2 linked regions of the Ovis aries genome follow. The protein of the gene in region 2 interacts with the protein of the main gene of each other region in a pairwise test. Links are inferred from orthologs where the notes say so. Each region holds a gene or a part of one and is shown on either strand. Other genes may lie near its edges.

Evidence for each region.
Region 1: the proteins of MKRN2 (region 2) and RACK1 interact in binary tests that used the Homo sapiens proteins (3 or more experiments, as listed by UniProt). The two-hybrid records come from large-scale screens. The link is inferred for Ovis aries from reciprocal best matches to the Homo sapiens genes MKRN2 and RACK1.

What each region holds. Positions count from the first base shown.
Region 1 is NC_056058.1:38,114,152-38,118,637, forward strand, and holds the start of RACK1 (small ribosomal subunit protein RACK1), read right to left. Parts: upstream 2,911-4,486; 5' UTR 2,845-2,910; coding exon 2,736-2,844; intron 2,496-2,735; exon of another isoform or gene 2,428-2,495; intron 1,570-2,427; coding exon 1,398-1,569; intron 1,105-1,397; exon of another isoform or gene 1,026-1,104; intron 865-1,025; coding exon 717-864; intron 458-716; coding exon 362-457; intron 97-361; coding exon 1-96. UniProt on the Homo sapiens protein: Scaffolding protein involved in the recruitment, assembly and/or regulation of a variety of signaling molecules. Interacts with a wide variety of proteins and plays a role in many cellular processes.
Region 2 is NC_056072.1:56,520,876-56,525,315, reverse strand, and holds the start of MKRN2 (E3 ubiquitin-protein ligase makorin-2), read left to right. Parts: upstream 1-1,619; 5' UTR 1,620-1,710; coding exon 1,711-1,736; intron 1,737-4,440. UniProt on the Homo sapiens protein: E3 ubiquitin ligase catalyzing the covalent attachment of ubiquitin moieties onto substrate proteins.

The sequences.
Region 1 (4,486 bases), on a different chromosome or scaffold from region 2:
ACAGAGGGATCCATCTGGAGAGACGGTCACAGTGTTCAGGTAGCCTGTGTGGCCGATGTGATTGGTCTTCAGCTTACAATTTGCCAAGTTCCATACCTAAAATTGTGGGTCAAAGGTGAAGAACCTGGGCTCTGGATCTATCAAGGTCAAAAAAAGGCATGGCACCATGCTTAAAAGGCATCCCTGGATAGGAGAGCCAATTTCCATTCTATCAGTGACAAAAAAGTCCAAGAATTATTAATCTTGGCCACTTACGGTCAGTTAAGGGACAAAGCTGATTCAAAGTTGATTATGACCAACTGGGAGGTAGTGGGAACACATTCTGGTTGGTAAAGGCCTCACGCCCTGGCTCCAAGCTCACCTTGACCAGCTTGTCCCAGCCACAGGAAACAATAATGGGATTGCTGCTGTTGGGCGAGAAGCGGACACAAGACACCCACTCTGAATGGCTTTCATCCTGCAGAGGATGGAAAGGAAATAAGGAGAAACTGTCTCGTCTTATGAAACTCGAGACCCCACCCTCCCCGCTCAGTTATGTGGGATATATATTCAGTATGTTGACAACCTGTATTCACACTTCCAGAACCCAAACCTTTAAGATAAGATAGAATCCCTTTAGGTTCCAGACGAGGCTTAAAATCACCATATAAAAGCACCAGTTAAGAAGGATGGGGGAAATGTTCAACATATGCTCCCTGCATGTGCCTTTACTTTACCTGGACAGTATATTTGCATACACCCAGAGTATTCCATAGTTTGATGGTTTTGTCTCGGGAGCCAGAGACAATTTGCCGGTTGTCAGAAGAGAAGGCCACACTCAGCACATCTTTGGTATGGCCTACAAATCGGCGAGTGGTGGTGCCCCTGAGAAGGAGGACTTGGTTACTCTCTAGAAAGACTGCAAACATTCTTCCAGTCAGGCTGTTTCCCTGGCCCAATTCCTCACCCAATGGAGCTGCGTTACCCACACCACCCTGGACATGGCTTTGATAAACGGCAGGCCCTTGGCCGAGAATATGCCAGAGAATCCCTTCAGAATTGCAGGACATGTCCTCACTCCCATGTGGGGATTGGCTGACAATGTCATCTGTCATCACCAGGATCCTCCATTATGCCTGACCACCCAAGACTGAGCTCCCAATATACAGTATGTTCAAACATGTTGTCTAGTCCCAAGTGCAGTATCTGATAAAACTGCTAAAACAGACCACTCTTCAGCAATTCTGTGTATCTAATTAAAAGCAACGGGGAGGGAGGCCGAACCACCACAAATATCTTCTCCAGGTACTGTGCCTTACAGTTCCCACTCAAGTACCCAATCACTACCCTGGGAAACCTGATGGTATCTACCTGCTTTCTACCCAGCTTTCCCCCAGTGCCCCAGAGCAGCTACTTGCGTTGTGAGATCCCAAAGGCGAAGGGTTCCATCCCAGGAGCCTGAGAGGGCAAACTGGCCATCTGAGGAAATGACCACATCACTAACAAAGTGGGAGTGACCCCGAAGAGCACGCTGTGGGATACCATAGTTGGTCTCATCTCTGGTCAGCTTCCACATAATGATGGTCTTATCTAAGGGCAGGTTAAAACAAAACAAACAAAAAAAAAGACCCAGTGAAAAAACCCCACGGCTCACCATCTGACCTTCTGGATCATAAACCAAGGGCATTTAGGGGTAGGGAAACTACCTAAAGGCTGAGAGTAGTTATTAGCCAAGTCCAAGTAACTTTAGTCAAGAGTCAAGCAGAGCTAAGTTGCACCCTGAGAATTTAACTCAGGTGTGTGAAACTTTACCAGGTTATGGATGCCCCTTTCGAAAATCTAAAACGATTCCACATCTATTTATTGGGCTTCCCTAGTAGCTCAGATGGTAAAGCATTTGCCTGCAATGCAGGAGACCTGGGTTGAATCCCTGGGTAGGGAAGATCTCCTGGAGAAGGAAATGGCAACCCACTACAGTACCCTTGCTTGGGAAAATCCCAAGAACTGAGGAGCCTGGTAGGCTACAGTCCATGGGGCTGCAAAAAGTCGGAGACGACTGAGTGACTTCACTTCCAGAATGCATGCACACAGCAGGCTGGATATGGAAGAGTAGCTGTGGGCCTCCTGAAACTACTGCTAAAGGATGCAAGAAATACTAGCAATAGAAAATCCACTTTAGGCGCTAAGGACTGGATGCTTTCACTGCAATGTGTTCCACTGAATAAACTTTCCTAGTAAGTGCCATACATGATTGTAGCCTCAGATGAACTATTTTTAAATAGCGTGAACGCAAAAGCAATCGCCAAGAAGTCTCCAAATGCAGTCAGGTACAGAGAGAATGAGAAGGAAAAAAAAAGGGGGAAGAAAGGGCTGCCCCGAAATAGCCGAGAGACTAGACACGAGGTCCGCCTTGGAGTCCACTTTTTAATGAGCAGAGGGTCCGGGCAGCAGCTCAGAAACAGCCTCTGGGTTTCAGCATAGGCACTCAGATGGCATGTTGGGATCATCACGGCGCCGCCCGACCCGAAGGCTCCTGGGCCCACAGATACATACACGGGTTTGAGAGGTAGCGATTAGAAAGGCCCCAGCCTTGCAACCCTCCCGGCAGCCAGCTGTTTCGGGGCTCGCCAAGTCGGGGACGCATCACCGGTTCATCCGCGATGAGGCCTAGGCACAGGTCAACTCACAGCCCACCGGCCCAACCATGTGACGCGCGCAACGACCCCTGCCCCTTAATCCAGCACCTCAGCCCGTACCTCGAGAGGCGGACAATATCATGTCCGGGAACTGGGGAGTGGTAGCGATCTGGGTCACCCAGCCGTTGTGGCCCTTGAGGGTGCCACGAAGGGTCATCTGTTCAGTCATGGCGACGGAGAGTGCGGGTGTCGCCGGAGCGACAAGGATGGAACTGGATAACTCAGAGAGGCGACCCGCACAACCGCTTCCACCGCGGCCCTGCAGAGGAAAAGAGAGAACCGCCCACGCCGGATCCGGAAATACCCGCCCTCTCGAACGAAATGGCGCCCTCCCATAATTCACTTCTGCTCAAGGTGGCAGCGCCATGTAGTTCAAAGGGAGAGATAAAAGAAGACTTCTGGTCCAGACCGTCGTACAACGTAATTTGGTAGCACCGTACAAATTCCCTTATTAAACCAACATGACTGAGTATTTAAAAAGGCTCCTTATGGTAGGGGAATGATGTCTCAAAAGCGTCAGAGAGGAAGTACACGCCCCAGAGCTTAGTAAGGGGAGCCTAGTGGCTTCACTGGCCTTACGTGGCACAGTCTGAACCCCTCCCTTTCCGCTTGGTGGCTCGGAGGGCATCGCAGAGGGAGCTTAATTTCATGGGCACAATTGTGAGTAACGGTGGGCGATGTGAATAATACTATATTAAAATTTCAAAGTAAGCTGCGTTCAGGTGAACTGTTAAACCCTAACAAATTCCATGCGCGGGCGGCGACTCTTCCCTCAAGAGGTTTATTCACTAATGGTGTTGGGTGAAGAAAGACAGTCCACCCAGGACTAAGGCAGGAATGGGTTACAGAGAGGAAAACCGGGAATGAAGGATAAGTTAGTCTGTGGGCTGCTGGACAATAAACCCCGCTCCCGCCTAAGCAGGAGCGTGGAGAGCTCTCGCAGAAACTGAAAGGCTTCAAGAGGAAGGTTGGCTCGGGCAAAACCACCTCATAAAAAGGTCCTTGGGTCTGGGTGTCTAGACGTGCCCAAGTATTTCTTTTCTGTTTGTCACGTGTATTATTTTCTCATGAAATGAGATTGGGAATAATAGTACCTACCTCACACGGTGTGGAGAGTATATTAGATAGGTAAAACACCCAGAGAGACCCCTGGCAAAGCAAATGCACAGAACTTAGTGAGCACCTCTTGGTTACCAGACGCAATTTTAGGTCTTGGGAACATAGCTGTGAACAGGTTAAAAGGGACCTGTTTCTTTGTTTTTTGAGTTTACATCCAATGAGATGGGGGAAAAGAGCTCAAGGGGGAGATTTTTAGCAAAGAAAGATATAGGAGAGATCTTTCGGGATTTATGGGTGGATGTTCCAATCCGAGGAAAGAATCAGTGCCAAAGTTCAGAGCTGGAGCGTTGAAGGCCCTGGGGACCAAACCAATGCAATGGGGGTGGGGGTGGCAGTTGACAGAGGGCCTTGCAGGCTGCTAGAAGGCCTGCCTTTGGGAAGGAACAGTGTGGGACAGTGGCAAAGCTTCTACGGGCTATGGCTACTCAGATGTGTGAAGAAGGCCAGAATCCATCCCTTGAAAGCAGCTACTCTCCTGGTGCCTTGCACACCTCTCCCTTCCTCCACAGCCAAGTTGGGCTCATCAGGAACAGCCTTGCTGTGTTCCTGCACAGCCTAAGGACTCTTTTAAGGGTTCCATCATCTGCCTTCTTGGCATCCCCAGCTGGCTCTCCTGTAGTTTTTCTAACACTGAACTCTACCCTTACCCATGTTTTTGGTTTTGTTTTTTTTAATTTTTTATTTTTAACATT
Region 2 (4,440 bases):
CCCATATGTAAGACAGCAATTAAATCTTTAATTAAAAATCTGCTTATGCCAGAAACTACAAGCTGAGGTAGCTTCAGTGGTGAATCTTCCAAATATTTGAGGAAAAGTTAATACCTATATTATATAGACTTTTCCAAATAATAGAAAAGAGATAAGACTTCCAAACTTGTTTTATGAGGCCAGCACATCTCAACTACAAAACCTGACATGGACATCACAGGGGAACACTACAGAATAATATCTCTTAAGGATAAGGATGCATAATTCCTAAACACAATATTAACAAATTGAATCTGATGATTTATAGAAAGAATAATATATCATGGCCAAGTGAGGTATATCTGAGGAATCTCAGGTTGGTTTAACATTGAAAAATCAATTGATATAATTCAATACGTTAACCAAATAAAAAGGACCGTGTGGTTTTCTCAGAGAGGAGAAAAACAGACTTGATTTAAAAGAACAAGACATTTATTATTAAAAAGTCTTAAAGCTAGAATGATAAAGAAACTGCCTTTATTTGATAAGGGGTAGCTTTAAAAACTCTGGGGCTACCTGACCTGCCTCTTGAGAAACCTATATGCAGGTCAGGAAGCAACAGTTAGAACTGGGCATGGAACAACAGACTGGTTCCAAATAGGAAAAGGAGTACGTCAAGGCTGTATATTATCACCCTGCTTATTTAACTTCCGTGCAGAGTACATCATGAGAAACGCTGGACTGGAAGAAACACAAGCTGGAATCAAGATTGCCAGGAGAAATATCAATCACCTCAGATATGCAGATGACACCACCCTTATGGCAGAAAGTGAAGAGGAACTAAAAAGCCTCTTGATGAAAGTGAAAGAGCAGAGTGAAAAGATTGGTGTAAAGCTCAACATTCAGAAAACTAAGATCATGGCATCTGGTCCCATCACTTCATGGGAAATAGATGGGGAAGCAGTGGAGACAGTGTCAGACTTGGCCACCTGATGCGAAGAGCTGACTGACTGGAAAAGACCCCGATGCTGGGAAAGATTGAAGGCGGTAGGAGAAGGGGACGACAGAGGATGCGATGGTTGGCTGGCATCACCGACTCGATGGACGTGAGTCTGAGCAAGCTCCGGGAGATGGTGATGGACAGGGAGGCCTGGCGCGCCGCAGTCCTGCTACTGCTGCTGCTAAGTCGCTCAGCCGTGTCCGACTCTGCGACCCCGTGGACTGCCGCCTACCAGGCTCCTCCGTCCATGGGATTTTCCTGGCAAGAGCACTGGAGTGGGGTGCCAGTGCCTTCTCCTGTGTGAGACACTGAATTGAACTGCGCAGAGGAGAGGGGGGAGCTTGGCCGCGGGAGGGCTGAGGTGATCCTAGGCCACGAGAAGTCGCTAAGGAACGGTGAAGAAGAAAAGCAGAGACCCGTAGGGACTCACAGTGCGCCCCCGGGCGTAAAACCCGCGGGCCTGAGGCGAGCCACGCCCGCCCGGGAGGCCTGCGGAGGCGGGACTAGGAGTGCAGCGATTGGCGGTTGGCCCCGCCTCACCCCGGGGCGGAACCAATTATGACGGCGGCGAGGTTTCCTGCCGGCGCCCGCAGCGTGCGGCACGGAGACGCCGGCGTGCGCCGGCGTGACGCGGCCCCGCGGGATGGGCAGGGCCGAGGCCGAGGCGGCGACGGCGGCAGCTGGGAGAGCTAGAGGCGGCGGCCGCACGACGGTCCTCCGATCCGACCGCCATGAGCACCAAGCAGGTCACTTGCAGGTCAGTGCGCGGCGCCGCGAGTCCTTCCCCGCGCGCGCCTCTCCGCCGCGCCAGGGAGACGAGCCGGAGTGGGGCGGTGGGAAGCGGCTCTCCCGAGGTTCGGGCTCCGGCGGGGCCGGTGCCCAGGACCCGGCGGTGCGTGGCGGAGCCCCGCGGGCGCTGCGCCGGCCGCCGCGCGGCTGGAAAGGAGAGCGCGCTGGCGGGTCGTGCGGGCTGGGAGGTGGGCCCGAGACCTGGGGCGAAGCCGCCGCTGTGCAGCCAGGGGGCCGAGGAGGCCGTTTAGAAACGGCGATACCACCCAGGTGTAGGCTCTCATCGTCGGTGAGGGCCTGCGGAAGCGGCCTTCGGTTCCTAAGGGTCTGGAGAACTCCCATGCACAGTTAGCGAGTTGGAAGCTGCTGTGTGGGAAATAGCGTTTGCTGGAAGTTTCTTTCTTTTCCCGCGTATCCCCAAGGCTTGTGTTCTGCGGTCTTCACAGTAACGTACTAGGCAGACGTTATTCCTGTTTCGTAGGGCAGGGAACTCAGGCCGACGGAGGGTAAGTGAGAGCCGCCCCTTACGGGGAAACCCATTTCTGTGGAGAAATGCGGCGGTAACGGGTGGACCGGGAGTTGTAGAAAATTCAAAACCGGATGGCTCCACTGCGCCCGTTTAATAGAAGGAGCTTGGTGTGTGTAACACCGCATTCCTCGGCAGGGATGTGGCTCGAAGGTCTGGGGGTCCTGCTCTTACTGAACCTGAAAAGTACAGCTTTTAACAGTCGGTCTGAGTTAAATCTGTGTGGGACACAATGATGGGCGGCGGTACCCAGCCCCATAGTCGTGTGGTTCGATTATATGTAATGAAGAGTTTTAAGTATCATCTGTGTTACTACTTCTCTTCCTTACTATGAATAGTTGAGAAAGTGTGATGTAAAAAGTTTCCTGTTAGCATTAGTCTCTATTAACCGTTTAACCAGTTAATCCAAGGCCTATGTGCTGTTGTCAGAAATTGGCAGTTTGTGTGGATAGAAAAGAATTTCACTAGGTTATTTGTAATAGAAGGTCTTTTGTGAGCACTTGTGCGTATGTTTATGTATGTTTCTGTAAACTTCCCCCTGTTGGACAATATCTTTAATCATTGAGGTCTGTATACCAGTATACCAAATTTCAGTTACCCCGCCTAAGCCGCGTCTGCATGAGGGTGCGTGTGTCTGCGCTGCTTTGTAATAGAATCTCCCATCTGCCTGGTGTCTCATTCGACAGATGAGGAGAAGCTGTGCTCCGACTTGAAGCCTGCCCCGAATTCACATCGGCCTCTAGGAACAGAAATGTAAATCAAGATTACCTTGGGGTTGTTCTTTCTATCCTAGGAGATGGCTTGATCTAAAAGCTTTGGTTCTGGTTTTCCCAGATAGGAGTGTCCTGCAGGACGTTGGTACAGAGAAACTAGAGTGGGTTGGAAGGTTGAGAAGGGATCAGTTCTGTACGAAGTGATGTTTGTTGGCGGTACCCTGGGTGCTCTTTGAGGTTCCTTACCAGCCATGTTGCTTGTCATCCAGCAACACACACCATTCCGTGGGTCACCAACCAAACCTCAGCAGTGAAGTGACTTCCAAGGTGGCACATGTGGCATCAGTTTGTGTTCTTGTAGGTGCTCTGGCCCCCAAAGAAGTTCGGGAAATGCTAAGTTAAAGTTTCTTTACTGCGGAAATTTTCAGAGTTTTAAATTTGCTCATACCAAAAAGGAAAACTCATCCAAAACTATACAGTGGGACTGTGCCTAGCGGTCCAGTGCTTAAGACTTCGCCTTCCAGTAGGGGGTTCCAGTTCAATCCCTGGTTAGGGAGCTAACATTTCACATTCTTCAGGGCCAAAAAAATCAGAACAGAAGCAACAGAAACAATATTGTAACAAATTCAGTAAAGACTTTAAAATGGTCCATGTTTAAAAAAAAAAAAAGGTTACTTGCAAAGGGATGCGGAAGAGTCTGGCTTGCAAGGCCTGCCTTGCCCAAGGAGAAACAGAAGACGTACTTACATAGGAAAATGGCAGTGGCACCAAGAGTGCCAGGTTACCATGAGTGCGCTAGTGATGGGAAAGCTCTTCTCGCTTCAGCGCCTTATACACTGAGGTCTTATCTCCAGACATTGGCAACTTATATGAAATGTGCAAGGTTTGATTTGTTCGGGAGACCAGATCTAAAACTGGGTGGTCTCCTGTTTTTGGTTTATGTCAAGATGCAGACGGGTTTTGGTTTATGCTGCATGTCAGCAGGAACAAGTGTTTGTGTTTGTTTTGCTTCCGTTATAATACAAGCTAAATGGTAGGATTCCCAGACTGAAGGACAAAGACATTCCGTTTGTTGCCTGGAATGCAAGAGTGGCCACTCACACCTCTGCGCTGTCGATCAGCTCCCCTCACTCCTCAACATTCCACTCGCTCCAGAATCTCGGTCTGTCCAGAATCTCAATTTTTTGCTGATTCTTTTTTCCAAACCGTCTCCCTAGGTTTCCAGTCTGTTTTCAAAAGCCTGGTGCAGGCCTTTATCACTGCTGGCAACCAGTTTGTTTGTCCTCCGCCTCATGTGATAGCGGTAGGTCCCTTTGTTAAATACGGTTTCCATAGAGTCAGGCCCGGAGCTTGTGATTCATTGAAAGGCACCAACAAAATACGGGGCACCTTGCGGCCCCTGAGTGAAGGACGCGCTTGAGCTCCAGCCTCGG